4 linked regions of the Astyanax mexicanus genome follow. The protein of the gene in region 3 purifies or fractionates together with the protein of the main gene of each other region. This does not show direct contact. Links are inferred from orthologs where the notes say so. Each region holds a gene or a part of one and is shown on either strand. Other genes may lie near its edges. The genes, in order: dhx38, usp39, cd2bp2 and sart1.

The links.
Region 1: the proteins of cd2bp2 (region 3) and dhx38 purify together in Homo sapiens (affinity purification with mass spectrometry; 3 studies listed by BioGRID and IntAct, counting the BioPlex papers as one, with this or other methods). This does not show direct contact. The link is inferred for Astyanax mexicanus from reciprocal best matches to the Homo sapiens genes CD2BP2 and DHX38.
Region 2: the proteins of cd2bp2 (region 3) and usp39 purify together in Homo sapiens (affinity purification with mass spectrometry; 5 studies listed by BioGRID and IntAct, with this or other methods). This does not show direct contact. The link is inferred for Astyanax mexicanus from reciprocal best matches to the Homo sapiens genes CD2BP2 and USP39.
Region 4: the proteins of cd2bp2 (region 3) and sart1 purify together in Homo sapiens (affinity purification with mass spectrometry; 4 studies listed by BioGRID and IntAct, with this or other methods). This does not show direct contact. The link is inferred for Astyanax mexicanus from reciprocal best matches to the Homo sapiens genes CD2BP2 and SART1.

What each region holds. Positions count from the first base shown.
Region 1 is NC_064423.1:36,778,259-36,785,275, forward strand, and holds the start of dhx38 (pre-mRNA-splicing factor ATP-dependent RNA helicase PRP16), read left to right. Parts: upstream 1-4,006; 5' UTR 4,007-4,087; exon of another isoform or gene 4,088-4,174; intron 4,175-5,638; 5' UTR 5,639-5,699; intron 5,700-7,017. UniProt on the Homo sapiens protein: Probable ATP-binding RNA helicase. Involved in pre-mRNA splicing as component of the spliceosome.
Region 2 is NC_064429.1:1,324,909-1,332,719, reverse strand, and holds the start of usp39 (U4/U6.U5 tri-snRNP-associated protein 2), read right to left. Parts: upstream 3,021-7,811; 5' UTR 2,911-3,020; coding exon 2,862-2,910; intron 2,308-2,861; coding exon 2,244-2,307; intron 2,141-2,243; coding exon 2,046-2,140; intron 1,724-2,045; coding exon 1,587-1,723; intron 714-1,586; coding exon 561-713; intron 1-560. Other genes in the region: c22h2orf68 (UPF0561 protein C2orf68 homolog), read left to right, coding at 4,142-4,251, 6,219-6,334.
Region 3 is NC_064426.1:15,181,071-15,188,418, forward strand, and holds the start of cd2bp2 (CD2 antigen cytoplasmic tail-binding protein 2), read left to right. Parts: upstream 1-4,336; 5' UTR 4,337-4,418; intron 4,419-5,541; 5' UTR 5,542-5,542; coding exon 5,543-5,617; intron 5,618-6,818; coding exon 6,819-6,951; intron 6,952-7,348. UniProt on the Homo sapiens protein: Involved in pre-mRNA splicing as component of the U5 snRNP complex that is involved in spliceosome assembly.
Region 4 is NC_064424.1:16,324,907-16,332,888, forward strand, and holds the start of sart1 (U4/U6.U5 tri-snRNP-associated protein 1), read left to right. Parts: upstream 1-4,974; 5' UTR 4,975-5,452; coding exon 5,453-5,723; intron 5,724-6,713; coding exon 6,714-6,768; intron 6,769-6,864; coding exon 6,865-6,920; intron 6,921-7,005; coding exon 7,006-7,132; intron 7,133-7,255; coding exon 7,256-7,361; intron 7,362-7,541; coding exon 7,542-7,619; intron 7,620-7,723; coding exon 7,724-7,823; intron 7,824-7,903; coding exon 7,904-7,982. UniProt on the Homo sapiens protein: Plays a role in mRNA splicing as a component of the U4/U6-U5 tri-snRNP, one of the building blocks of the spliceosome. May also bind to DNA.

The sequences.
Region 1 (7,017 bases), on a different chromosome or scaffold from region 3:
GCTGATTTGTGGTTTTGTGTGTTTAATACTTGAACTGGTGAGCAGTCCACAAAGTCTATATTTCATATATACGTATATATATTTCATACGCAGATTATTCTATGCATTCTACAGTACGTTTTTTTTTTCTTCATCTCGTCGTTGCCGCCGACAGTTGTAGCGTGTGCTGTTTCACGTGTTCGATGCCTCAGAAGAGTTTGGTCCGTGAGCTGCCTTCCCCTGCAGTAGTGACATTGTTCTATATGTATGCAGATCTGTTCTTTGTTTTGTCTCTTAATGATTATATGTCTTTTCATATGCATATTCACTGTATTCTTTTTTTCTTTTCAGCCCATGCAGCTTTTTTTTTTCTTACTTTCAGTGCTTTTTACACAATCGGGTGGTTGAATGTTTTGTTAAATATGCTCTGATTTCATGTAATTGCACCCTGTATACACTCATTAACCAAAAATATTATAATAATGCACCAAGAATACAGTATATAAGTGATTACAATTTTACACCTGGTTTTAGACCACAATAATTGATTGTGGTGACGGACAGTTCTGGTGGAAACAGGAGAGTTGAGGTGCACATTGGATCCTTCCGTGATTTGATCAGCCGTGGTTTTCTGTTTTTTGGATACAATCTGGGTTAGCACCCGAACATCCCTTTCAGACAGCTTCCTCTTACAGCGTCCACAGTTAATCCTGTTGGATGTGGTTGATCCTTCTTGGTGGTATGCTGACATTACCCTGGATACCGTGGCTCTTGATGCATCACAAAGTCTTGCTGTCTTGGTCACAGATGCGGCAGCAAGACGTGCACCAACAATTTGTCCTCTTTTGAACTCTGGTATGTCTCCCATAATGTTGTGTGCATTCCAATATATTGAGCAGAACTGTGCTCTTACCCTGCTAATTGAACCTTCACACTCTTATTGCTCTTACTGCTGCAATGTGCAATTAATGAAGATTGGCCACCAGGCTGCTCCAATTTAGTCATGAAACCTCCCACACTAAAATGACTGGTGTTTCAACAGTTTCATAGTCCATCCTGGCATCCCAGCTGATCCAATAAATTCCTTATTGGTAATAAATTTTGCGTCCAGACAGGCCAAAGTTTGTGGGAACAAGCATTATCCTGCTAAAAAAAGCCCTGCATATTTTAATGAGCTGTTATTGTGCTTCTTATCACTACTACTGGTGAGCAGTGACATGCTGATGAACAGTCTGGATGGTGTGCATGCTGGTTCTTTCAGTCCAATGGTGCATACCCTCCTACAGTCTGTCAAATGTGCAAAATGTCTATAAGTACATTGTAGAGGTGTGTCTAGCTGTCTGATCTCTCACCTGGAGGTACACTACCCAAAAGAGTATAGTGCAAATGAGAGCCTTTTTATATAGAGCTCTGAAAAAAAAAGAAACCACTTCAGTTTCTGAATCAATTTCTCTGATTTTGCTATTTATAGGTTTATGTTTGAGTAAAATGAACATTGTCGTTTTATGCTATAAACTACAGACAACATTTCTCCCAAATTCCAAATAAAAATATTGTCATTTACAGCACTTATTGCAGAAAATCAGAAATGGCTCTAATAAAAAAAAATGAGGCAGAGCTTTCAGACCTCAAATAATGCAAAGTTTTAAGAGTTCAGAAATCAATATTAGGTGGAACTGTGTTTTCATGCATCGTGGCATCATGTTCTCCTCCACCAGTCTTACACACTGCTTTTAGATAACTTTATGCCTTTACGCCTGGTGCAAAAATTCAAGCAGTTCAGTTTGGTATGATGGCTTGTGATCATCCATCTTCCTCTTGATTATATTCCAGAGATTTTTCAATTTGGTAAAATCAAAGAAACTCATCATTTTTAAGTGGTATATATATATATATATATATATATATATATATATATATATATATATATACAAAGTAGCCTGAGTCTGTTTTGCAGGTCTGTATTATTTTTTGGTGAATGAGTGTATAATATATTATTGGCTGTAGGTTTTGAGCACAGTGTAATAATGAGTGTGATAAGAGCAAATTAAGATTCTGGTACTTTGTGATCTCCTCTCAGATTGTAGTCTCTGATCATCAGCTGAGTATTTAATAATAAATCATTCATAAATCATTCCGCCTCATTTTAAAGTGTAAATACGTGATTGCTCCTGTGTGCAGTTCCACCACAGCACTGCTTTGCTCTGTGTGAACATTGTGTACATCTTCCTGGCTGTCCGATATATTTTAAATTGTCTTGATTTGAGAGAAGCTGTACGTTTCTTTAAAATACAGCGGAAGAAAATGAACTCTGACTCTGTGTGTTTGGTCTAAATTTTGGATACATTATTGATGAAGCCTTCACAGACATGAAATTATATGCCTGATATATTTAATTAAATAATATTGTGATCAAAATGTTCTAAAGTGCCCTCTACAGTGTTAAAATGGAAAGATCTATTTATTTTTGTTTCTTAATAGGAACTTGCTCATTTTTTATGTAGATAAATAGATACATAGATACAATTTCCATTATGAAAATTGTTGAACATTTATAAATGATTAGATAAATAAATATGTAGATATATTTCATATTTCATGTAGATATATTTCATATAGTTCATTATTAAATTATTAAACATATATTTATAAACTCTGCTGAATGCTCTATAGGAACCAATTAATTTCATGTAGATAAATAGATATGGAGATATGTAGATACAATTTTTAGTATGAAAATTATTAAACATGTATAAACTCTGATTTTGCTCAAGTGCTTTATAAGAATCCATAATTTATGTAAAAAAATAGATACATTTATCAGTTGATTATTAAATTATTAAACATTTGTATTTCTTAAACTATGGTTTTGTTTTATTGAACCAACTCATTTTATCTAGATAAATAGATATGTAAATACATTTATCAGTTAATTATTTAATTATTAAAAATGTAATTTTACACACTCTGGTTTAGATCAGTTGCTCCGTAGGAAGCCATTAATTTCATCTAGATAAGTAGATACATTTTTGATATGAAAATTGTTAAATGTGTATAAACTGATTTAATTGAATAATCTGAGTTTCCCTGAATGCTTCATAAAAGCCCATTAATGTATGTAGATAATTAGATGAATTTACACATTTTTCACATTTAAAATTATTAAACTTTTTATAAACTTTAATTTTCTCATTTTTTATGAGAACAATGTAATATTATGTAGTTAATATATATATATATATATATATATATATATATATATATATATATATATATATATATATATACATATATATATATATATATATATATATATATGTATATATATATATATACATATATATATATATATATATATATATATATGTATATATATATGTATATATATATATATATATATATATATATATATATATGTAGATAAGTTGAAACATTTTAAATATACATGTTAATATGTTAAAGTACATGTTATAATGATTAAACATTTATAAACCTTTGATAAAACTTTGTGCTCAATTGTTTCCCAGCAGCCCATTCATTTTATGTAGATAAATAGATATGTAAATACATTTATTAGTTAACTATTAAATTATTAAACATTTCAATTCATACACTGATTTTGTTCAGTTGCTCCAAAGGAAGCCATTCATTTTATGTATATATGTGTATATATTTATCAGATAATTATTAAATTATTAAAGATTTATATTTATAAACTCTGGAATTGCTCGGTCGCTCCAAAAGAATCCATTCATTTTTTTAAAGATAAATAGATATGTAGATAAGTAGATACATTTTTCAGTATAAAAATGATTAAACATGTATATATAAAAAACATGATTTTGTTCGAATGCTTAATAAGAGCCCATTAATTCATGTAACTAGATACATAGATGTTGTGATACATTTATCAGTTAGTTATTAAATAATTAAATATTTATATTATTAAACTCAGATTTTGCTCAGCTCTATAGAGACCCATTCATTTTTTTGAACTGCTCTCGAGACTCTTATTGTGAAGTGTCGTGTTTTCCGCTTCTTGTATTATGGGATAGCGATGGCGGTCCGCTGTACGCAGGTTGGACGCGGTTAGCTTGGTGTTTTTAGGGTAAATATCTTCATTTAGTGTCTTATTTCTGATTTTACCCGCCGCGCTGAGACCTGCTGTATATCCCGGAGTGTATTAGTGTGAGAGGTGGGCGGATAAGGGCTTTCTTCGGGGTTTAATCCGCGGTTTTAGCCGCTGTGTGTGTGTTTGTTCTGTGTTTGTTAGCGTTAGCTGCTCCGCTCACTCAGCTGTAACGTTACTGAGTTCAGTAAAGTTACCTGATTACAGACTGAGATTCGCTCAATTAATTATTCTCTAATTATTCTAGTCTATTACAGCGTATCCGAGTTAGCAGATAATGGGGTTTAAATGTAGGAAAATAGCTGTAATATTACAGTGTTTTGTGGCTTTTGGCTCATGGTTCTGTTAGCTAACGGTAGCAAACATTCTCGTTAAATTAGTTTAACCTAACCTAGCTATTTAGGTTAGCTAACTAGACTAGATACATTTTATTTGTGTATTTAACCAGTAAATTAACACGGAAAAAGGAGGATATTATAAGTTAGTATAAGATAATTCAAATTAAATTAATATAACCTAACTAGCTAGGTTGGTTAGCTCGTTACCTCATTTCAAACAGACCTGATTTAAAACTGTTTTGGCTTTTTATAGTGAAAAACGTTTTATCTCCAAATAAATAATAAAGACCTTGGAACCACTAATTTACTGTTTAATTAAAAGACAAACATTTACAAATGTTGGGATTTATTTCTACTGTCTGTATAAAACATTACTAAAAGTATATTTTATATTAGTATTTATTTTTTTGCAGTAGTGTACACTTGAATAAAATAATTTGTTTGAGAGAATTCCAGTTAAATAATATAACCTGGCCAGCTAGGTTAGCTAGTTAGTTACCTTTCCAAACACATCTGATTTAAAACAGCCTTTTTTAGTTAAAGAAATAGTTTTAGTATGCTTTAATTGCCGTTAAAATATTATGGATTAACTAGCTAGGTTAGCTAGTTACCTCATCTTTTGTTGATGCATTACTCTAGTTTTGTTTCATTTTTAACTTTTATTAGACTTATTATTTTGTATAAAAAGAGTGTATAAAACATTGTATACTAAAAATATATATTATACATATTAAGATTCATTATGTTGCAGTAGCTAGTTACCTCATTTTAAACACACCTGATTTAAAACAGCTGTGGCTGAATCCTTTACATTTTTAAGTTATGTTTTCAAATGTATTTATGTATATTTAAGTAGTTAAAAGGACAGGATTTTAATGTGCAAGAGCAAACAAATTAACATACTAGGGTTAAAAAAGGGAAAAAAATGTTTTATTTCGAGTTATATATTTAAATATATAAATAAAATATATATTACATTGAATATATATTAAAACAGTATATATTTATGTCCACAGAAAAAGGCTGGGTCATTGGTGTTCTACTTTTCAGCATTAAGATTAGTATAAATTGAATTTGTAGTAAACCTGTTAGTAATGATGCACTCATGTCAGAATATTAGAACACAGCTTTTATTTGTTCATTAATTTGGTCATATTTTAATGAAGTTCTGACTTTGCTTTGTGTTTCTCAGACAGGCACTGAGATATTATGCAAGAGACCAATGGGTTCTTCACACCAGCTTTTTAAATAAGGTTAGTAACACCCCTCCGTCCCACACACCTCCTTCACCTCTTTTTTTTTTTTTTTCTTCTTCTCACTATTTCAAGTCCTTTTTCACACCGGGAAGTCTAGACCAGAGTTAGCACAAATCTTCATGTGAATGTTGTTAATACGGTGAGTTATCTTTACAGGTTGTGCTGAATTCTGACTCCCTATAGCAGCATGGATGATTATGAATAAATCAAAAATCATGAAGTGAAGAGGGACTAAGTTGGCATCAAAGCAAACAGTGCTACTTTGAATCACCTAAAGTATAAAACATATTTAGGCTTGTTTAAGTTCTTCAAGTTTTTCATAATCGCATATAGGCCTGGCACAATAACTTTTTTTGTGAACATTATGTTGTCAGAAATGATTGTGAAAAACGATAGTAATGATAACATAATATCATAAAAGAATTGCACCCTTTTAAAGACGTTAAACTTTCCATTCCTGTTCACACGCCTAATTTTGGAACCCGAAAAGTTCCCAGCCTGAACCAAAGTAGCTTATAGTAGGTTCTTCAACATATATATACATATACACATTGTGAAATGTGGAGGCAGGGGAGCTGTGGGTTGACGTGCAGCCCCGGTCTGCCCCAGCTGGCCCACGTTGGACCAACATAAAGAGACACTAAAGTTAAGCGACTAGAGCCGTACTGGGTGTTTCTATGTTTCATTAAGTTTGTTTTGGGTGTTGATGGAGGACATTTTTCCTAATAAAGGTACAATTTGAGTTCATTCACTCCCTGTGTCTGTGTCTCTCTGTGCTTCCGCATTACCAGGTCACACTCACAGTCACAATATATGTAAGTGCAAACACAATGGACGATATCACGATTATTAAAATGATTGAGGTCACGTCCATTTATTGAACGATAAGTCGATTGAGTAATTATTGTGACGGGCCTAATTGCATATGCATTCCTTTATAGTTTTGATGTATTCATCATTAATCTACAATGTAGAAAATATTAATAATAAAATAATTAAAAAAACATTAAATGAGTGCTAAATAGACTGGTACTTTGTGTTCTTTCTGTGTACCAAGTGCGGTCATGCCCCAAAGCTTTTCACTCACCTTTACATCCTTACTTAGAAGATATGAAAGTAAACTTGATTTGATTTGACTCTGGCCCTACTATATTTTTCTTATATGATTTTATGATACCTATTTTTGTTTAGACAATATATTGTCCCAGAAATAATTGTGATAATATTATTGTTGTTATTTGATGAAGTTAATCTAATAGTATAACACAATTCCACACAAACCTTTTTATCCCCTTTACCAGGCCTTGGTCTGTAT
Region 2 (7,811 bases), on a different chromosome or scaffold from region 3:
AATGATTTTAGGAGTCTAGTGAAACTGTCTGAAACTGTGAGTGTCTGTCAGTTTGATACAAAGGAAAATGTGCACTGACCTAACGTTCCATGGCGTGCCTACCAGAGGCAGATTTTATGTGCAAAACATAACTTATTGCATAAACATATCTATGTGCAATAGTAATATGACAAAAGTTGAATGAATTTTCTTCTGATGAAATAGAATGTATTTATGTATTTCGTAACATTGCAATAGATATTTCAGACAATCAATATACTGCAATGCAAGCAAAAAAGGCTCAAATCTAAATGTTTTCAGTGTAAACAAACAAGTCCTTCCTGTCCTTCATTTGTCAATGCTTCCAGAGGACACTGTACTCAAATCACATCTAGCAAAGTAACTGATCATTACTGGGCCAAGACATGTGGTATCTTCTACAGTACATTACAGTAGTGTTTGATAGTAAAAACTACCTGAACATTTGACCTTCATTATAATAAATAAACATTTATGTTAATGAACGATCGGCACCCTTCATCTCAGATGTGCTAACAAGACTGAATATTGGAAGGTAATACCTGTAGAACTACGTTGGCGTAGTCATTAGCCTTGATGTTGTTGAGTCCCACAATGCCAGGCAGGTAAGTTGTGCCATCGTAAGCCCTGTACAGTTTGCCCTGCTTGTCCAAACTGGAGATGTGCTGTTTGGTAAACGTTGGCTTCAGAACATACTGAAGACAGAAACACTTCATTAATATTCTGATAGAAATATACAGAAATAAACTAAACAAAAATAACAATTACTGAGAAAATTATGCCAAAAAAGCCACAGTACAGGTATGCGATACACGCCCTCTACGCTAACATGGTCATTAAGCATAATTCCATCTTTAAGCTTACATTTCTTACAATTGACAAAATCAGTAATTATTTTTCTTTATTTAATATTTTAAAGCTGTCTTCAAAAGAGGAGTCACATGAACTAGAATTTTAGTTAATGGGACTCCTCTTTTGAAGACAGCTTTAAAAAATTAAATAAAGAAAAATAATTTACTACTTTTTTGCAACCTTGCAACAGATTAATGTATCGAACTATATATGTATATCTCGGATTTCCAGATTGTTAATGGTTAATATATGTAGGTTTTTTTTTTTAAAGAAGTAATTAGGTGGTAAGGCTTGCTAGAGTGTGTCAGTGTGATATCAAAAAGAGAAATAATCAATTTGACTCTTTCACATGAAGGTGTGTCACACAGCAAAATTATCACAGATTTCCTTCAGCTTCCTTTTATTTCTGTCTATAAATAAAGGTTAGTCTACAGATACAGGAATCACCAGCATAAACTCTTGTGCCCATACTGCTGTATGACGCACCCACACGTGAAGGGGAGTCAGATTTCAGGTGTTTTTTTCCTTCTTCTGTTGCTGCCTGAACCAGATTCAGGTTTATGTTTAGTTGATCCAAACCTCTTTTTGTCAAAGCAAATACTGGTCTGTTGGAGTAGGCTTTGAAGCATCTGCTATTTTGCTTCTGTCCAAACTGAATAGTCCAATGTTCAGAACCAAACAAGGTAGATGTGAAAGCACCCTTAATCTCAACTCACTGTGATGTCCTCCAGCGATGAATCAATGATCTCGTAATTGTCTGGTAGACAGTAGAACTTCAGTGTATGCAGATTTAGAAAGACATGATGTGTGAACTGAACACTGTGGGTGTATGCATGGGACTTCAGGCCCCTCCCTATAACACACACACACACACACACACACACACACACACACTATTTTACATCTAATGATCCGAGTTTTGGACCACTGCAAGTGGCTTTAATTGACACTTGCGTTAAAGAGTTAGATGCTGCTGTTTTGACCACTGTGCCTTGTAGGCTTTTCTATAAACCAGCAGCCAAACCATCCACCTCAGACATGGCAAGATGAAGAATTAAAACTGAAATGGGCCAAACACTCATTTCACACTAAATTTACAAAGATTAACAACAAAACGTTCTGTATTTTACGCTCCATAACAAAAACTTCATTGTCTCAAAAAAAAAATGACTTACCTTGGAAATACTTTCCACAGATCAGACAGGCATAAACATTTATGTGAGAGAGAGAGATTGAGCACAGCTTTTCGAAGTCAAAATCCAAAACGCTCCTAAATAATAAAGAAAAACGAAATTGCTTAGAACCGTACCCTCCTTTTACTTCATATAGAAATTAACACAATTTATGCCAATTAATACATCCTCTATCCCAACCTGTTGATTGTGTCAAGGTATGGACAGTGGCGGCTCCTTCTGTCTGGAACTTTCCCCCGGACCTCTGAAAATCAGGCATTGATAAAATTCTTATGAAAAAAAATTACTCCCACAAACACCACCACCCCACCACAATGTCCACCACCACCCCCACCATGTCCCCAGCAAAGCTTCAGATATTCAGATGTTTTACACACATATGCTGGTGAAAGGCTAGTTAGTTAGTTGACTAACGCTAGCTAACCTAGGTTACATGCTTTAGTTTAGGATCAGTAGAAAAGTAACAGCCACTTGTTTACATGCTTTGGTGACCAACTAGTTAGCTAGCTAATTAGCTATGTTAGCTAGAGAACTAGCTTTATAGCTAAATGAAGATGTTGGTGGATTATCTGTAATTCTGGATTTAACAGTAAAAGGAAAATCCTGTAATATCAGTCTCACTGATGTTGGTTTTAATAAAAAAACTGAATTAGATTAAAGCCGCTCAGAAGGTGTGCAGGAGGCGCGTGCACTGCTGGTTAGCCTGCCGGTTAGCGGTTAGCTCAGCTAGGCGGTGTGTTCTGCTGCTACTGTTTGTAAAGTAAAGCGGTTCTGCCTTTAGAGGTTCCTCTACTTTACCTTCCTCCTCCTCATCCTCAGCATCCCGCTCCCGCTTCACTCCAGCCATAGCGCTGTTTAATTAAGCCCGCGGAGTTTAAATCCTATGAGGGGTCAGAGCACGGACTGCTCAAACTAAACACAAACTCCCAGCAGCCCCCGCGCGCCCCGCCGGAACTACTCTCACACCCCACCGGAAACAACCCACCGATCAGCACTGTAAAAATAATCCTGATTCTGATACAGTTAAAACTGATTTATTTAAAAAGTGGGCAGCAAAATCCAATATATACAAATACGTATCTTTTACCGCACAGCCTTTTATTCAAAAATAACATAACTTTTCTCCCATGTGAATACTATAAATATTTTCTTAAAAGCAATATTGTCATATAGTACCAATTGGTTTTATGTAATATTAAATTTTATGAAACACTGATTTTGGGTGTTTCATTGGCAGTAAGCCATAATCATCAACAATAAAAAAAATAATAATAAACACTTATGGATGTGTAATACATCTATATAATATATGAGTTTCACATTTTAAACTGAACCATTGGATTGCATTCCAATGTTCATTTTAAATGTTAAAACCATCACCCACATACTTTTTTGCATCCTTTATGCACCCCTTAACTTATTCTTTGTAATGTTCAAACGCTTGTGTTTCTCTTGACCTGTTGCTCACACTGTGCTGCTGTTATGTTGTTGCTGTTCTACTGTTCTAAAAATGATAAATTAGTCTTTTGAGGTAATTCTTTCCACAAGTCCTAAAGTGTCTATTTATATGATTCGAGATCTGGAAGGTTCATTCACATTGTTTTCAGATTAGGCGAGATAAAAAATGAACGCAGAGGGTAAGACGCCTCCTTCACTGTTATTATTTAGTAAATGAGTTTTGTTATCAGCCTTATAGCAGAAAAAGACTAAGACTAATGCGCACCACCTGCGCAATCTAGCCCTCAGGTTACTATACTATAGTGTTTGTTTAATATAACATTGTTTTAATAATTTATATATAATGAATAATTCATATATATATATATATATATATATATATATATATATATATATATATATATATATATATATATATATATATATAGATATATATATATAGATATAGTTAGAGGGCGCTGAGTATGCGGGGGGGGGGGGGGGGGCTGTTGAACAGTAGGCGGCAGCAGCGCTGAACAGAGCTCAGTCCGCCTCAGCGCTACAGGAAGAAGAGGATGCAGGCAGTGAGAGGTCTGTGTGTGGGGGGAATGCGCGCGTGTTCTCCGCTTAATCTTTAAATTATGGAGGTTCTGCAGGATGCTGAGGGGGAAGCTCTCAAATATAAACCCGGGGGCCGCTTAGACATGAGCCACGGGTTCCTGCATCACATCCGGAGGAATCAGATCGCGAGGTAAGAGTCGGAGCTGCCAGGCTAACAGTCCGCTAGCGCAGCGCAGCGAGCCGCCGCTACTGATCCTTACGGTGGCCGAGAAAGCCCAACGCAGTGCAACTTGAAAAGCGCTGCAAAAGCACAAAACACATCCATCAAAATTACAACACAGGCGCAGCAACTAGAAACACGCGCTGCAACTAGAAAAACGCGCTGCAAATAGAACCACAACACAACGGAAGTGAGTCACAACACAACGGAATTTTCCCGGGGGACCTTAAAAGATACTGTACCAGCTAAGCTGCGTCTTCAGTAACGTCTCGGACTTCACTATGTGTACAAAGGACAATAAGTGGCAAACAAGGCGTTTTGTGAAGCAGAACTTTTAATAATATGCACACAACCGTGGTAATCACAGGTAATAAACATAACTTACTTTTCAGAAGCTTGTTTGCCACTTACTGTCCTTTGTATACAGCTGGTACAGCATCTTTTAAGGTCTCCCGGGAAAATTCCGTTGTGTTGTGACTCACTTCCGTTGTGTTGTGGTTCTATTTGCAGCGCGTTTTTCTATTTGCTGCGCCTGTGTTGTAATTTTGATTGATGTGTTTTGTGCTTTTGCAGCGCTTTTCAATTTGCACTGCGCTGGGCTTTCTCGGCCACCGTAGGATCCTGTACTGAGAGCTTTAAACAGCTGCTGATACTAACACTGCCTCACCCCAACACTGCCTCACCCCAACACTGCCTCACCCTACACTGCCTCACCCTACACTGCCTCACCCAACACTGCCTCACCCTACACTGCCTCACCCTACACTGCCTCACCCTAACAATGACTCACCCTACACTGCCTCACCCTACACTGCCTCACCCTACACTGCCTCACCCTACACTGCCTCACCCCAACACTGCCTCACCCCAACACTGCCTCACCCCAACACTGCCTCACCCCAACACTGCCTCACCCAACACTGCCTCACCCAACACTGCCTCACCCTACACTGCCTCACCCTACACTGCCTCACCCAAACACTGCCTCACCCCAACACTGCCTCACCCTACACTGCCTCACCCCAACACTGCCTCACCCTACACTGCCTCACCCTACACTGCCTCACCCTACACTGCCTCACCCCAACACTGCCTCACCCTAACAATGACTCACCCAACGCTGCCTCACCCAACGCTGCCTCACCCAACGCTGCCTCACCCTACACTGCCTCACCCAACACTGCCTCACCCTAACAATGACTCACCCAACGCTGCCTCACCCAACGCTGCCTCACCCAACGCTGCCTCACCCTAACAATGCCTCACCCTAACAATGCCTCACCCTAACACTGCCTCACCCTAACACTGCCTCACCCTAACACTGCCTCACCCTAACACTGCCTCACCCTAACACTGCCTCACCCTAACAATGACTCACCCTACACTGCCTCACCCTACACTGCCTCACCCTACACTGCCTCACCCAACACTGCCTCACCCAACACTGCCTCACCCAACACTGCTTCACCCAACACTGCTTCACCCAACACTGCTTCACCCTTCACTGCTTCACCCTTCACTGCCTCACCCCAACACTGCCTCACACTAACAATGACTCACTAACACTGCCTCACCCTAACAATGACTCACCCAACAATTGCCTCACCCCAACAATTGCCTCACCCCAACAATTGCCTCACCCCAACAATTGCCTCACCCCAACAATTGCCTCACCCCAACAATTGCCTCACCCTACACTGCCTCACCCTACACTGCCTCACCCTACACTGCCTCACCCTACACTGCCTCACCCTAACACTGCCTCACCCTAACACTGCCTCACCCTAACACTGCCTCACCCTAAGACTGCCTCACCCTAAGACTGCCTCACTGTAACACTGACTCACTAACACTGACTCACTAACACTGACTCACTAACACTGCCTCACCTCAACACTGCCTCACTTACAGGTTGTAATGTTTGTGTGTTTTTAAAGGGATGATTATGATAAGGAGGTGAAACAGGCTAAAGAGCAACAGAAGCGCAGACACACCACCGCCCCGCGTCGCCCCCGGAGACCCGACCGAGAGGTCTACCACCCCCGCCTCCGGAGTAAGAGCTCAACCCCTAAGCGTTTACTGATGCATCATTTCTCTCTTTTTATTTTGGTTCAGATACATTGTTAGGAGCGTGTGCGGTTTGTCATGAAAATTCCGGTATCTGATAATTATTTATTATCAGATTTATTATTAAGTGTGTCTTATAAAACTGGAAACTGGATTTATCTGAAACAGAAAAAGAGGTTATTAAACAGAACTGTGAACACTGCTTCTTAATTAGAGTATTTACTTTTATTTGTTTTATTTGTTTATGTTTGCATATATTAAAAATATATATAATATTGATATATAATAGTATGCACTTAATATTCTGCACGTTCATTTTGCTGCAGATTTTTATTTTTGTTATACACTGCTCAAAAAAATAAAGGGAACACTCAAACACAATATAACTCCAAGTAAATCAAACTTCTGTGAAATTAAACTGTCCACTTAGGAAGCAACACTGATTGACAATCAATTTCACCTGCTGTTGTGCAAATGGAATAGACAACAGGTGGAAATTATTGGCAATTAGCAAGACATACTCAATAAAGGAGTGGTTCTGCAGGTGGGGACCACAGACCACTTCTCAGAACCTATGCTGTCTGGCTGATGTTTTGGTCAGTTTTGAATGTTGGTGGTGCTTTCACACTCGTGGTAGCATGAGACGGACTCTACAACCCACACAAGTGGCTCAGGTAGTGCAGCTCATCCAGGATGGCACATCAATGCGAGCTGTGGCAAGAAGGTTTGCTGTTTCTGTCAGCGTAGTGTCCAGAGGCTGGAGGCGCTACCAGGGGACAGGCCAGTACACCAGGAGACGTGGAGGAGGCCGTAGGAGGGCAACAACCCAGCAGCAGGACCGCTACCTCCGCCTTTGTGCAAGAAGGAACAGGAGGAGCACTGCCAGAGCCCTGCAAAATGACCTCCAGCAGGCCACAAATGTGCATGTGTCTGCACAAACGGTTAGAAACCGACTCCATGAGGATGGTATGAGGGCCCGACATCCACAGATGGGGGTTGTGCTCACAGCCCAACACAGGACGCTTGGCATTTGCCAGAGAACACCAGGATTGGCAAATTCGCCACTGGCGCCTTGTGCTCTTCACAGATGAAAGCAGGTTCACACTGAGCACATGACAGACGTGACAGAGTCTGGAGACGCCATGGAGAGCGGTCTGCTGCCTGCAACATCCTTCAGCATGACCGGTTTGGCAGTGGGTCAGTAATGGTGTGGGGTGGCATTTCTTTGGAGGGCCGCACAGCCCTCCATGTGCTCACCAGAGGTAGCCTGACTGCCATTAGGTACCGAGATGAGATCCTCAGACCCCCTGTGAGACCGTATGCTGGTGCGGTTGGCCCTGGGTTCCTCCTAATGCAGGACAATGCTAGACCTCATGTGGCTGGAGTGTGTCAGCAGTTCCTGCAAGATGAAGGCATTGAAGCTATGGACTGGCCCGCCCGTTCCCCAGACCTGAATCCGATTG
Region 3 (7,348 bases):
TAAGAAAAGGAATGGCACCATGAGAAAGCTCCGCCTCCTAAAAGTGATGGCAGACTTTTCACTGAGGGAGAAAGAGAGAAAGATGAAAACCCTGAAGAGGAATGGAGAGCGGCGACAGAAAGAACCCATTTCCGTCTTCTCTCCCCCTCTCCACTCCTCTGTTCCCCATGTATTTTGTGCTGTCCTCACCTGGGCTTCGCTTTGCTCTGTCACCAACTCTTCTGTAACCAATAAAAAGAGAGAATCTGTGAATAAAGCAATCTTATCTTTCGTACCTCTGCGTCTGTCCATACTGGCTAATTTACAGGGAGTAGCGGCTGAGGTCTGTTGATTAGGTATGAAGTATTGGGTGAGGAGATCTGAAGAACAACTGCAGTATCTCCATCCACGTTTATAGACATTTCCAGACTTTACAAATCCAAAAATGCCAGCTCAAGCTGGTCAAGCTGATTGACCAATTTAGTTCTTGACCAGCACAGAGTATTTTTTTGTTTGGGTTTGATGGTTTAGCTGGTTAATGGCCAATAACTTGACCAGTATGACTGAAGTTGATCAACCATCATGACAAGCAGAACCAAGCATGACCATAATTGAATGCATCATTCACTATGCCACTCACAAGCTGGTTAATTTAGGGTATGTTTCCCCTGGAGGAACAGCTTTCAAACACCATCTCAGACCATCTGAAACCAGCTACCAGCAAATGCAGGTCTGCATTTGTAGCATGGTGTTTCTGGGAGAGGTGCAGCGAAAGTACAATAAACCTGGTGAAACAGAAACAAAGTGAGAACATACCACCCTGAAACAAGCTGAGCAAGGATTCCGGAAACACTTCTTTTATTTACAATAAAACTCTGGTCATTTGGAGTAACAGATCAGACCATTAACTTTAGTCAATTGTAACAAAAGTAACACATTGCAACAGACTGCAAAATAAAGTCAGTGGATATTATATAGAAATATTTCCAGCAACAGCTAAAATTCATGCATTTCCACAGAATTAATTTTGCAACATGTTGCATGACTTCATTTTAAGATGGCAACGCCCAGAAAACTACATCACTGTACTGTGTGTACAAACAGTGTTTTTTTTTATTAAACAATCAGTGCCCTTTTTTTGAAGTCTCAATGCTTACTTTTAAATAACAGGGCCATCAGAATTTTATTAATCAAGTTTTGAGCTAATTTGAGCTTGTTAATGGTGCAAAAATAGCGATTTCTTTATCTGGCCAACACTGTTACCCTATTGCTAACATTGTAAGCCTAAAAGTGCTGTATTTCGAAATGCTGGAGAGAATGGAGGTGGAATATTCAACAAAAAAGTTTGTACTTGTTATCATGTTTCATTACACCCCTAGTCAATTTTACACCAGATTTCTCCTTTAAGTCTGAGACATATAAGTCAAGCCCCTTTGAATACAATTTGTCACAAGATCTTAGTAGTGAGGGTGTGGCCCACAGAGCTCAGAGACTTTGCTTGTCAAATTGGCAGTAATCACAGTTTTTACATTTTATGGCAGATCCATAGAGTCATATCAGAGAATTTCAGAGCGCAAAATACCCACTGTAACAGGTTTGTTTGACTCCCAAGTGAAAAAGTTATGTGTTCATACAGACCGCATATAAGTCTATGGTCCATCGCAGCTCAAAAAAATGGTTATAGTTAATGTTCTTAGAACGTTCAATCTGTCAAGTTTTCAGAATGTTCTTAGAACATTTTTTTTTATTTAAATGTTCTGGTAACATCGCTGCAAACTTGTGTCAGCATTTTTAGTTTTAGGAATGTTTCTTTAAATTTTTCCATATTGTTAGTAGTTTCTCTAGCCACACCCAGGCTTGATTACCACCATACTCACCATTCTCAATTAAGAAATCACTTAAATAGAACCTGTCTGACAAAGTGAAGTAGACCAAAATATACTCAAAAGCTACACATCATGCCGTGATCCAAATAAATTCAGGAACAATTGAGAAAGTAATTGAGATCTATCAGTCTGTAAAAGTTCATAAAGCCATTTTCAAAGTTTTGGGACTCCAGTGAACCACAGTGGGAACCGTTATCCACAAATGGCAAAAACGTGGAACAGTGGTGAACCTTTCCACAAGTGCCAGCCAGCCAAAATTACTGCAAGAGTGCAGCGACAACTCATGCAAGAGGTCACATAAAGACCCCACAACAACATCCAAAGAACTGCAGACCTTATCTAAATATTATTTATTCTAGTTGTATTCTATTTTTCACATTTTATTAAGAATAAAGTAAGTTACAGAGACTCCTCCTAAACTCTTAATATGAGTAATAATGAGTTAAATGAAAAAAAAAAAGAATTATAGCTAAAAGAAACAGTGAAATATTAGGAAAAAAATGCCAGTTAGTAATGCCATTAGTGTGATTTTTATTTCAAAATAAAAGATGTAACTATGCAGCATATCTATGCAGTAACACCAGACTGAGACTGCCCCTGGAACTGCAAGTGTCTTTTAATTTTGTATTACTTATTTGGCATTTGTATTTTAATATCATAAACCATAATCACTGTAGAATATTGCAGTTTTATTTGTAGAGAAACGTGTTATTTACCTCAGAATATGACACTCAGCCTTCTCACATCACTGTCTGTGGGAGAGAGCACTGCTGTGGAGGAGAATATTATATAATTGATTAAATGTGTGGCTCAATAAGTGGTTATTCTTAAAATAACGTTTTAATTATGTTAAAATATAAATAGCTTTTCTACAGAAGCACTTACTGTTTCTACATCAAATAACACCGTGTATAATTTATACAAACTGACCTCTAGACTTCGCGATTTTAAAAGTGATCTGAGGTAAAATGCTTCCGCCCAGTGGTGGCTGGCGTGTACTGCAGCTTTGTGAAATAGCTCCAGTCCATTAGACCACTGCAGTCCTGTGTCATTCTGTACTGTAATCCTCGTATGCCCAGATTCGGGGTTCTGTGTCTAAAGGGTTTTTGCCTATGAGAAATAAGAATGAGCTTTTCAAAAACTCCTCTCTATCAAATTCTGTAGTAAATAATTGAATTTTTAATATAATAGACAAAAAAATCACTCCTGTTAATGGCACTCATTCCTGTTACTGGAACTCGCTCCTGTTACTTTCATTCCTGTCACTCAAAACATAAAAAGTAACAGGAATGAAAGTAAAAGGACTGAGTTTTTGGCATAGAATTAGCAAAAACATGAAAAATAGCTAAATGGCGGCTATGCTAATAGCATTTGGACACTAAGCACATTCTAGTGATTTTCCCAAAATATAAAATTTAAAATATAATTCATGTCATGTTGTAAATTCTGGAATGCAACATAACGAAACTGGAATGAAGCAAAACATTCAACATTCAAAACAAATGGATGAAGCAGGATTTAACCTGATTAAACACAATGTACTGACAGTCTTGTCTGTCTGTTCTGTGGAACAACAAGATGATCTATCAATAAATAACTGAGTAAACAGTAAAATAATAAAGGTGAAAAAATGTCCAATTTCTTGCAGTAAGGCTCTCTTAAACAGTAGTGTATGTTGTACTGCTAAAACTGATTTACGATTCACAGGAAAAAGTGCAGAATTTTTAAATAATTTTTCAATCTGACACCAAAACATTAGCATTGAGTAAACCCTTACAGAGTAAACTGAAAGATCTAATCATTTAGACTGTCTTGTTTGTAATCAATGACTAAAGAAATGTTCATTCTGTCTCTAACATGCTCACTGATATAAATACTTACCTCTGGGTCATGAACTGAGTGAAATTAAATCATTAGCTGCTTATCTATTATGTGTGACTGTTTGTACAAACTGTTTTGAGAAATGGCCACACTGTGGTGCAAATATTAATTCTGAAGAACTGCATCAAAAAGCTGTAAACTGTAATCTAAACCCTATACAGCTCTGGAAAAAAAATAAGAGACCACCTAATGATGATGTTTTTCTTTGATTTTACCAAATTGAAAACCTCTGGAATATAATCAAGAGGAAGATGGATGATCACAAGCCATCAAAACAAGCTGAACTGCTTGAATTTTTGCACCAGGAGTGACATAAAGTTATCCAAAAGCAGTGTTTAAGACTGGTGAAGAAGAACATGACATGATGCACGAAAAATGTGATTTTCTGCGAAGAAAAAATGCTCAAAATGACAATATTTTCATTTGGAATTTGGGAGAAATGTTGTCCGTGGTTTATAAAATTAAACCACAATGTTCATTTTACTCAAATCTATATACCTAGCAAAATCATAGAAACTGATTCAGAAGTTTCAGAGCTGTATAACAGTGTAAGTGGTGGTTGCGCGGTGTCTCCAGCAGGCGGCGCTGTGATAAACGGCTCTCAGCTGAAGGAGGCGGTGTTTCCGTCCTGCAGTTGAATGGCGCAGAGGGAAAATCAGCCACAGCATAAAGGTAAACAGCTCGATTTCTCCACTATAAACATCAGATTTACCCTCCGCTTTAACAAACGAGGGACCTGCACACTGCTGAAATGTGTTTACTGTCCGCAGACCACAACTTCTAAATTGTGACTTCTAAAAAGTCTAAATATCCTCTAATCCTGCAAACACAGGCCACTCAGTGACTGTAGCTTAGCATAGGCTGCTAATCACTCACACACTTACCTACACTCTCATTACTGATCTTATTAATATCAGCACTGAAAACAATGACGTTACTGCAAACTGTTACAGCGTACAGAGAGAGTGTCTACCTGTAACAATACAGCTAGATATATAATCCATATATCTAATAAACCCAATACATATAAAGTTAGTTGATTGTGACAATGTCTTTCTGTAATAAACTCATTAAAACATTAGAATAAACCCAAATAAACATAAAGCAAGTGAACAGTAAGAGAGTCTACATGTAAAACTCTGTATAATATTAGAATACTAAACCCAAATAAACATAAAGTCAGTGAGTGTGTCTACCTGTAAAACTCTATATAACATAAGAATAAACCCAAATAAACAAAGGCAGTGGTCATTATAAGTTTCTATCTATAATTATCTATATATAACATTAGAATATACCTAAATAAACAGTCAGTATTTAGTGAGTGTCTACCTGTAAATAAAATTATATAACATTAAAAAAACTCAAATAAACATAAAGTCAGTGGTCAGTGAGAGTGTCTACCTGTAAATAAAACTATATAACAATAGAATAAACTCAGATAAACATAAAGTCTGTGAACAGTGACCTGTAATTAACTCTATATATAGTATTAGAGTAAACTCAATAAACATAGTCAGTGTTCATTAGAATATCTACCTGTAATTAAATCTATATAGTATTAGAGTCAACCTAAGAAACATAAAGTCAGTGATCAGACACTGTATGGACTTGTATGGAGTTTCTCCAGCAACTCATCTGATTTACTTTAATGAAGGACTAGTTAGATAAACAAGGGGTTGGATAGAAACTGGGAATACAGCAATCTTTGTATTGATTATTAATGTATTTTGTCTAATGTTACTGTATTATGTGTATAACATACTCTTGAAATCTCTCTTAAACTTTATTCCAGAATGTCAAAAAGAAAAGTCACATTTGAGGATGGAGATGGAGAGTTCAGTTTGGATGATGAAGTTCCAAAGAAGAAGGTATGTTTATACTTGTCCATCAATCCTGTATGAAATGGCAACAGTTCGACAAGTAAATCAGACGAATCATCTAAGCAAATCATCACCCTCTTTAAGTTGTATATTGAGGTCTGTTTGTAGTTGCTGATCGTCTTTTGCCATCTGTATGCATTTATTTATGGGATAAAGAATGGTTGGGATAGACTTGTGTAAAAAGAAGGCAGGGCTAAATGTTGTAGGCTTAGTAGGCAGATACACAGTATATGTGAATACAGTGAAGGAAATAATTATTTGATCAATTGCTGATTTCGTAAGTTCGTAAGCCCACTGATAAATACATGAACGGTCTATAATTTTAACAGTAAAAGATAGAATATAAATAAAAAATAAAATCCAGAAATCACATTATACAAATGTATTTGCATTTTGCAGAGAGAAATAAGTATTTGATCCCTCTGGCAAACAAGACTTAATACTTGGTGGCAAAACACTTGTTGGCAAGCACAGCAGTCAGACATTTTTTGTAGTTATTGATGAAGTTTGCACACATGTCAGGAGGAATTTTAGTCCCGTCCTCTTTGCGGATCATCTCTAAATTATTAAGATTTTGATGCTGTTGCTTGGCAAATTGGAGCTTCAGCTCCCTCCATAAGTTTTCTTTGGAATTGGCTAGGGCACTCCATGACCTTGTTGCCTTGGCTGTATGTTTTGGGTCATTGTTGGGCTGCAAGACCCAGCCATGGCCTATGAATCATCCACAGGTGCCTTCTTGACCAGTGGGACTTTTCGGGCACTGCAACATTACAGCATAATGTTTTACCAATGGTATTGTTGGTGACTGTGATCCCTGCTGCCTTGAAATCATTAACAAGTTCCCCCGTGTAGTTTTAGGCTGATTTTTCACCATCCTCCTGAATACCACACAAGGTGAGATTTTGCTTGGAGCCCCGAACAATGTCGATTGACTATTGCACCAATAGCTGTCTCGTTCTCACCCATCATCTTACTTAAGGTATTGTAGCTCATTCCAGCCATGTGCAGGGCTATGATCTTGTCCCTGACATCCTTAGGAAGCTCTTTGGTCTTGCTCATGTTGTAGAGGTTAGAATCTGACTGATTTATTGAGTGTGTGGACAGTAGTAGTCTGTAGGGGTAGAAGTCACATTTAACAGCCACAAAGTGTACATATAATCTAATTGATACTCTGTCTGTTTTTGTGCAGATGTATGATGAGGTGAGTGGTCCAGGCTCCAGGTTCAAGGAGAAACACTCTCTGGACAGTGATGAGGAAGACGAGGGTGATGAGGCAGAAAATGGCGACAAATATAATATTCTCGCCAGTGATGATGTTGAAGGTAGGTGTTGTGCCTGTCAGGGTGTGTCCACTCTCTCTCTTAATATGTTCTCTTTTTCACGTGTGTTTACTGGTGTGTCAGTGTGGGAAGTGAGCTGAGGACATACTGTCATAATTCTATTCAGACACTTGTTGGGTGTTGTACAGATTCTAATTACTTCCTCTACTACTACTAACTGTAATAATAAAAAAGTAACTTTATAATGGGAGATCAATAATTCTCTTGATTCTAAGTGCATATATGAATCATATCTTAACTGCAATGCTTAAAATATAGAAGAAGCAATAAATTAGGAGGTGTTTTGATACTTGTGTTCATGTAGTGTATAATCTTATGCTCTATTGACTACCCCAAGTTGTGAACAGACAAAGACGTTCCAGAAGTGCCACAGTTGATA
Region 4 (7,982 bases), on a different chromosome or scaffold from region 3:
AAATATTTTTACATTACTTTAAAAATAAAGGCTTTGTTCAGACTGTAGGAAATTTGGATTTGTTTCCCAAATCAAATCAGTTGGGATGACTGTTATTTGCAAGTGATCAGATCAGATTTGCATGTCCTGACGCACAGATGTATCGTTTAATAAAAACATTCTAAGAACTTCCAGAAAGCTTGCCAGATATATAAAAAACACAGAGAGTGTAATTGCAGAGGTGTTGCAAACATTTTGCTACAGTGGTTGCTATATGGTTGCTAAGATGTAGCTATATTTCATGCTAGTGTTAAAGTCTGAAAAACATTTGGATAAATGGTGTAATACAAATATATCTAACAGGTAGAGCTGTGTTCACAAGCTTTTGGTCTGATTGGAGTCTGGTGACATTTGGCTAAATGGTGGAATGCAAACCTTGACATGAAAGGGACCTTAAATCAATACTTACTCAAGTTAGTAAAAACTGTCAACTATCAAAATAAATTAGGGTAATTTATAAGCATTCAGATCTGATCCAATTCACACACACTTATTTATAAAGGGTTAATGTAGTAGCAGGTTTTCATTCTACACAACAATTAGCTCACCTAAATCCACTTGTTTTAATTAAGTCTTCAGTCATTCAAAAACTGATTACACATGCTTCTGCTTTACTGAAATGAAACCCTGCATCCATATGGACCTTTTGCAGAAAAGATTGGCCACTCCTGTTTTTCTTCTGAATGTGTAGACCATGCAGCTTGTAATTAGCTAATCACTGAAAGCAATGCATTGCATGAAGATACCTAAAACCTTTGGTCTGTTATCTAGTAATCACTTTTGTTTAATTGTTTTCTGTTGCTTATATTTATTGAGAAATTTAGTTTTAAAAAGTTCTGGAATAATGCCATGTACTAAATAAATAAAATAAATGTTTTTGTAAATGCTCTGTGTCTTGTATAAATTGTTTCTTTTGTTTATGCAAACTAGCACGTTTTTAATAGTAAGATCAACATTTGCTTAGTTGGGGAACATGACATGAAATTAATTTAGTCAGACCATCACATCAGCACAATTGCAATTTGCTTTCCTTGGCGAGTCACCGACCGATGCAACAATCCCAGGAACTTTAACTATTAATGCTAAATGTTGGTACAGGACAATAATGTCTCCCACATATTTTTCAAAGAGTCATCATGGTTATTTACTGTTATTATTATTATTGTAATATGGAGTGATCTGGAAAAAAGAGTTTAGTCTGCTGTTTTGATTGTTTTGCTGTTGTCGTCTATAAAGCAGAACTGGTTGTTTGACCACTGATTGGCCACTGATTGGCCAAGACTTTATCTGTAGAAACTGTCTATTTTTTTTGTATCCCTATGCTGGTTCAAAAGACCTGGACCAAACCATTTGATGGGGACAGGAACACTCATAACAATTTTTCATACACTTGTATATATTTAAATTTAAAATGTAGACAGAACAAAGAAAAAAATAAAACAGAATACACTGAAATTGCAAATTTAAGTATATAATGTTAAATTACTTTGTGCCTCCCTCTAACCTGGACCAACCCATTTGGTCCACAATGGGCATGCTCCAATTTATCCAGGGACTATAAAGTCAGCTGATAACTTGAAAACTCATTTGTTTCTGTAGCTGAAATGCTGGCGCTGGAGTACATATGTATGGAGTAGGTAAATGAAGTGAAAATATTAATTTGACAAACCAACCTTGGGTGGAGAAGAGTAGACTTGCATTTAAGTTAGCCTGTAACTGTGAGAGAGGTTAGCATCTAGCTTTAGCTTAGCAGCTAAAGCACATTCAAATAAATAATACAAACACTGGTTAAACAATTCCTTGTTAAAGCTGAATTATAGTTAAGCTTTTTCTCATGAGTTTAAATACATTCTACAAAGTGTCTTCTTTAAAATGACTTATATTTTTAAAGTACATAAACCTGCTGTTTGATATATTTTACAACTAACTGAACATATTTTGCAGCTAAGACCTTTCAGTGGATGTCTGTTCTTTGGAAAGTGTTTTCAAGGTTTCTTTGTGTTGGGAATCATTTTCAGTTTCAATTGTAACTCACTATCCAGAGGCTGGGTTGGTTTCTTGGGTTGATTTGTGATCCTTAATCCTAACAGCATGACTTTAAACAGTGTATTTTTTTTATCTTTCTTTAAAATTAATTAAATTAAGTTTATGCCTTAAAACAGTAAAATGAATCTTTAGGAAAGTTTTTCTGCCTAATTTTTCCCATGCACTCAGTCAGCTCCACAAGACCCAGAATTATTTCCATTATTGTTTGCTCATGTAGTTTGCTCTCCGGAAGCACCACTGTCGGAATTACTGAGATCCTACCACAACCTACAAAACCTTTAGCCAAACCACACCTTGGCGATTTCATTCACCCAATGAAGATGCCTGCAGCTGTTTGCCTCTAATCTAGTAATCACTTTGGTTTTATGTTAAATGATTGAATGTATTAAAGACAATAAAAACTAAGTTTGATGTGTCTTGTATAACTTTTTCTTATGCTTACTGTTCACTGTTTAAGTTCACTGTTGGGAAAACTGTTTAAGAATTGATTGAACCCTTCTATATATTAAAAAAGAGGTATGTATATACAGGAAATAAGAACCACTGGTCAATGTACTGTTGAATAAGCTGCAAAATGTAAATAAAATGGTGTATAACAGTTATCTTTGGAAGAATAATTTAAGTTGCTATGTGTAGTTAGTGAAAACACACTGAGCAATATAAAGCTCAAACACAAGGCTGTTTGTCCTCCTGCTCTGTAGAGAAAAGTGCAGATTTTGCCACTGCAGTATCAGTCTATTCTACAAGTTAGGGAAGGCAATTTACTGCACTAATTTTTTTTAGTTTTGAGGCCAACTCAAAGAAAAGACACAGTTGTGCCAACTAAAAATCATTAGTTCAGATAATTGATTTTTATATGCATAAAGCTTTAGAAATTAAGTCTCACCAACTTATAAATTCACTTTGTATCCTTTCCTTTAAGATCCTGTTTCACATAAATCAAACTCATATAAAGAGCACAACATAAGTTAGCAACTAAGAATGTATGACTGTTATGTCTTATTATCAGTCATATTAAAATTGCAAAACACAGTGGCTTGCTCTTATAGACTTTAACGCTAAGGCCAGGCAGTTAACTATTATGTAACACATGCGAATCCCAAGAGAAGGCAGCCTGTGAAGAATGACTACTCACCGATAGTGAGTGAGAGGTAAAAGAACACACCCAATATGCAAATAGCTTGACCAGCATCAGATTAAAAACCCCTGCATAATAAATAGTTTAAACCGAGGCTTCTGCTAAGCATCTTTCATTAAATGAGTTGTCTACCACTTTGTTTGATTAAAATGCTGACACTAATTCTGGTTGTCACATTGTGTCCTACATCATATTATCCCATAAGGGCGTTTTAATACCCAGTAGATACATTTCATATTGTTCCCCCAAAAAATAGGCCAGTACATCACAGGTACTAAATGTGAATCTACAAACATTGATCAAGGTTTAAACTCAGATCATTCCCTGTGGTGATTTACCAATGACCCTGGAATTTTTGTATGGGACGTTGGCTCATTATGACTCGAGTAAAAGTGCCTTTCAAAAAAAAACTCTCTAGGAGCATGGACTCTTTATGTACAATATTTTTTCCATTGCTAATGCATTCGTCTCCAACATCAGAATTGATTTATTTGTGCACATCAATTTTACATTGATTTAACGTTAATTCAAAATTATGGTTTTAGATGTATGTTTTTATTAAACTTAAATTAAAGATGTACATTAGACTCAAGAAGTGTATATGTGTTACATACAGAGTGATCCTTTTTAAGTGTTGATTTCTTTTATTGTTAATTTGAAATCGGTGTCTCAGAAAACTAGAATAGTATATTAGACCAATTAGTACTTTTGGCAGTGTGGCAGTGTGCCACTCTGCTGGAAAATGAAATCTGCATCAGGAAAGAATGAAGTGCTATAAGATTTTCTGGGGAAAAAACTGCACTGATTTTTGGACTATATAATACAGTGGACCAACACAAGCAGATGACATGGCTGTCAAAAAAGCAACTTTTCAATTTCAACTTTTCATTTTTAAGATGCACTAGTATTTATAGTTTTTGGATTCTGTTATTGTAGACTGTACTGTGGTCTTTCAGTGTATAAAGTGACATAATACTAATAATTAGTAATATTAAAATTATGATTTGTGGGAATTTGTTAAATGTTAAATAAGGGTTGTTTAAAGATTGTTTTTCTATCATTACTTTAACAGAAGTAATGCAACCAAAATCTTTTTAAAAAATTAACGTTTGGAACCCCAAATCCAGAAGCTCACAATGCTTTTAGATTTATACACCAACCACTGCCTAAGAAAGTCTAGAAGGATCACGAAGGACCCCTCCCACCCATTCTCACAGCTTCTTCCCCCAGGCGACCAGGCTGTGGAACAGTGTTTTGCCCAACTTGCCACTGCCATCTTATACAAACTTTTTGACCCTGAACTTTACTTCACTTTACATCACATTGCATCTTTCTAACTTTCCCATACTTATCCTATTATACAGCATTCTCCACCCTGTACTTCCCAATCAACTCATTCTGTACCTGCACTTTAGTCATAATTACTCTGTCACATACTATCTCTGCACTTTCACATACACACTCAGATATCAGCACATGTATATATCAGTGTATACTTGTATATCCATTCATATTAACGTATATCTACACTGCAAATAAATACTTAGTAAATATTTCAAGTAAATCTTGTTCTTTACATGCTAATAGGAACCTGCACACAAGTTTTTTTTACTCACCTGTATTCTGTGACGTGACAATAAATACTGTATTTTGAATCTTGAATCTTGAATCAGGGATCCTTCAGGGCACAGAGCTGGAATATAGAGCCTCCTCGCCTGCAGGCGGCAGTGAGCGTTAGGTTTGACTCGGAAGAAGTTTGGGACGGTTTATCAGAACGCCTGCAGAACGATTGGATGGTGGCTGGTGTTTATTTGGGCCTCGCTGGTTTAGTGAGCGCTCCTTTTCGCGTGTTTACAGGACTTTAGGTGTTTAAAGAGTGTGATAAATATGTTGTACAGGCGGTAGAGTATAGCTAGCCGCTCTGTTTATGTTCTATTTAGCGTTAATATACACAAACCGTGCTGGGAGGGAGTGTATCTATGTTAGCTAGGTTAGCTTGCTAGCTAGCGTTAGCTATGTTGTTAGCAGGCTAGCTAGCTAAGCGTGTTATTTTTGGTGTCGTTTTAATACTTTCTAACCCAAGTCTAACTAGTACCTGTTAGTTATTTGCGTTGTTTGCTTTAGTGTCGGGTCTTTAAACAGGTTTGTTTACGCATAGGTTAGCTAATTAACACAGTTAGATAACCTAGCTAATTAGGTTATCTAGCTAACTAACTAATACTCTCAGATATGGGCTCATCTAAGAAACACAAGGAGAAGGATAAGGAGCGGGACGCAGAGGACCGACACCGAGAACACAAGAAACACAGACATAAGGACAGAGAACGGGACAAGGAGAGAGATGGAACTCGAGAAAAGGAGGAGAAGAAAAGGAAAAGGTCCCGCTCCAGAGAGAGAAGCAGCCGGGGAGAGAAGGAGAGCCGCAGTAAAGGAGAGAAGAGCAGTGGAGAGACTCGTGTAAAGAAGGAGAAACTTGATCCAGCTTTTGAAGAGGCTGAAGGTGAGCTGGTGACCTGTTTACTGCCACTGACTGTTGGTTAGTGTTAGAAGAATTTAGATTTCTGTCCAATATTGGCCAAAATCCAAAAATCAACAACTTATCAAACAGTAATCAAGAAATTGGCATTACCATTGATTGATTTAAAGTTTCACACACTTTTTAGGACAGGTCAGCACTGCCAGAAGGCTCATCCAGTACATGTTTTTTATGTAGGGGTTGTTCTTGGTAATGTGACATTTAATTAAAAAATACTCAATATACTAGTTCATAAAAATAAATATTTAGTCTTATTAGTCCTAATTGAGATTTTCACCAGATTTGAACAGAAATCAATGATCCAACATGATACTATTAATACTAGTAATGCACCCCATATATCCAGGACTGGAGTAAAAAAAAATGCTGGACAGATACATATAATCTGTCTCTATTAAATATTTAATAGGAAATGAGAACAGTGGGAATTTTCCTTTTGCTACAAACAGCAAAACAATTGCCCCTGATGGCCCTAAAATAAAATCCCAATATTTCTAGTTTTTTTTGTGATTAAAATGTTTTAAAAAGACAGTTGAGCGCAGAGAAGGCAATGGCATTTCTGGACATGGTTAACATAGGATTTTATTTTCTACACTAACGTTTTAGGTGCCATTGTAAATGCAATTCTGCAATGTAGTGTGGTTAAAGTGATTCCTTACCCCTGTGGTTCTGGGCTTTCACTTCTGTCTGTTAGGCCAGGTAATTCTTGATGATTAAAAGACTAACTTTTCATGGATCCTTTGTTGGAAATGAATCGTTACAGTGACTTGTGAGCATCACCAGTTTATATGTTTGTAGTCCAGCATTACTGTTTTGTAAGTTAGTAAGTGTTTTAAACAAAGTTTCATTAAAATGTGATTTTGTTAATACATTAAAATATGTGTAGTGATGCACCCATTTTTTATAGTGCCTGTACCTGATTTAAACTTTTTTTTTTTGTCTGTTCCTTTGCAGATATGGCTCCAAAGTCTGCGGGTGGAGATGCTTCACTCAGCATTGAAGAGACCAAGTATGCTAATAAAGTGCTTTGCAGACTGTCTATCAAGGTTTTGCATCAGAATTGATTTTGGAACTTATCCAACCAATTCTTGTTTTCCCTTTTCAGTAAATTGAGGGCCAAACTTGGTCTGAAGCCTCTTGAGCTAAATGAGAATAAAAAAGGTGAGAAATCGGTGTCTAACAGGACTTATGCTACCAAATATTCTTTCTCTTCTTTTTTTCTCATGTTAAATATTTCTGATTGCAGAACTGGGCACAAAAGAAGAGCCCCTGCTAGCTGAGACTATCAACCCTGTACAGATCAAACAGCAGGCAGAGATTAGGGAGAAACTGGCTGCACTCAAACAGAAGCGTCTGCTTAATCAGAAACTTGGGTACAATCCTCATTATGCTTTTTCATTTATACACCATAGGACTGTACTTCTATAGAGTTTTTGTCTCTTGAAGCCTTGTGTATCATTACTCAAATTGACCTTAATCATTGTCTCCCATTTTAGCAAGGTTAAGACACTTGGAGAGGATGAACCTTGGTTGGATGATACTGCTGCCTGGGTGGAAAGAAGTCGCAAACAGGCTAAGGAAAAGGAGTTGGCAGAAAAGAGAGTAAGTAGTAGACAGGGTTCTACAGCTTCTGCAGAATCGTTTCATTCGTGTCTTCTTTGTTGAGGCAAACGCACAGCAAAAAATGTACTGGTGATATACACGTTGTGGTTTTTATTGTAATATTATGTCTTTGTTTAATATATTTTTGTTTTTATTGTAATGAGCATATGATTTTCATAGGCCAAACTTCTTGAAGAAATGGATGAAGAGTTTGGTGTGAGTAACCTTGTGGAACAGGAGTTCGCTCAGACTAAGAAGGTAGACTTCATACACTTTCCGCAGTGGTTAATCATATATCAAACAGAAACTTTAAATGTTATATAATACATTTTCTGATTACTAAAAGTCTTTTTTTTTTGTAGGACGCTTACAGTTCTAGAGACCTTAAAGGTCTCTCAGTACAGCACAAAATGGAATCCTTTAAAGAGGGGGAGACTGTAATTTTGACACTGCAAGACAAAGGTTTGTGCTCTGTTGGCTTTTCAGCAATGCATCTGCTTTACCTGCACCTGTGGCTTGCTCACTGTATGTTCTTGTTGCAGGTGTTTTGGATGAAAATGAAGATGTGCTGGTGAATGTGGGTCTGGTGGACAAAGAGAAAGCTGAGAAGAATGTGGAGCT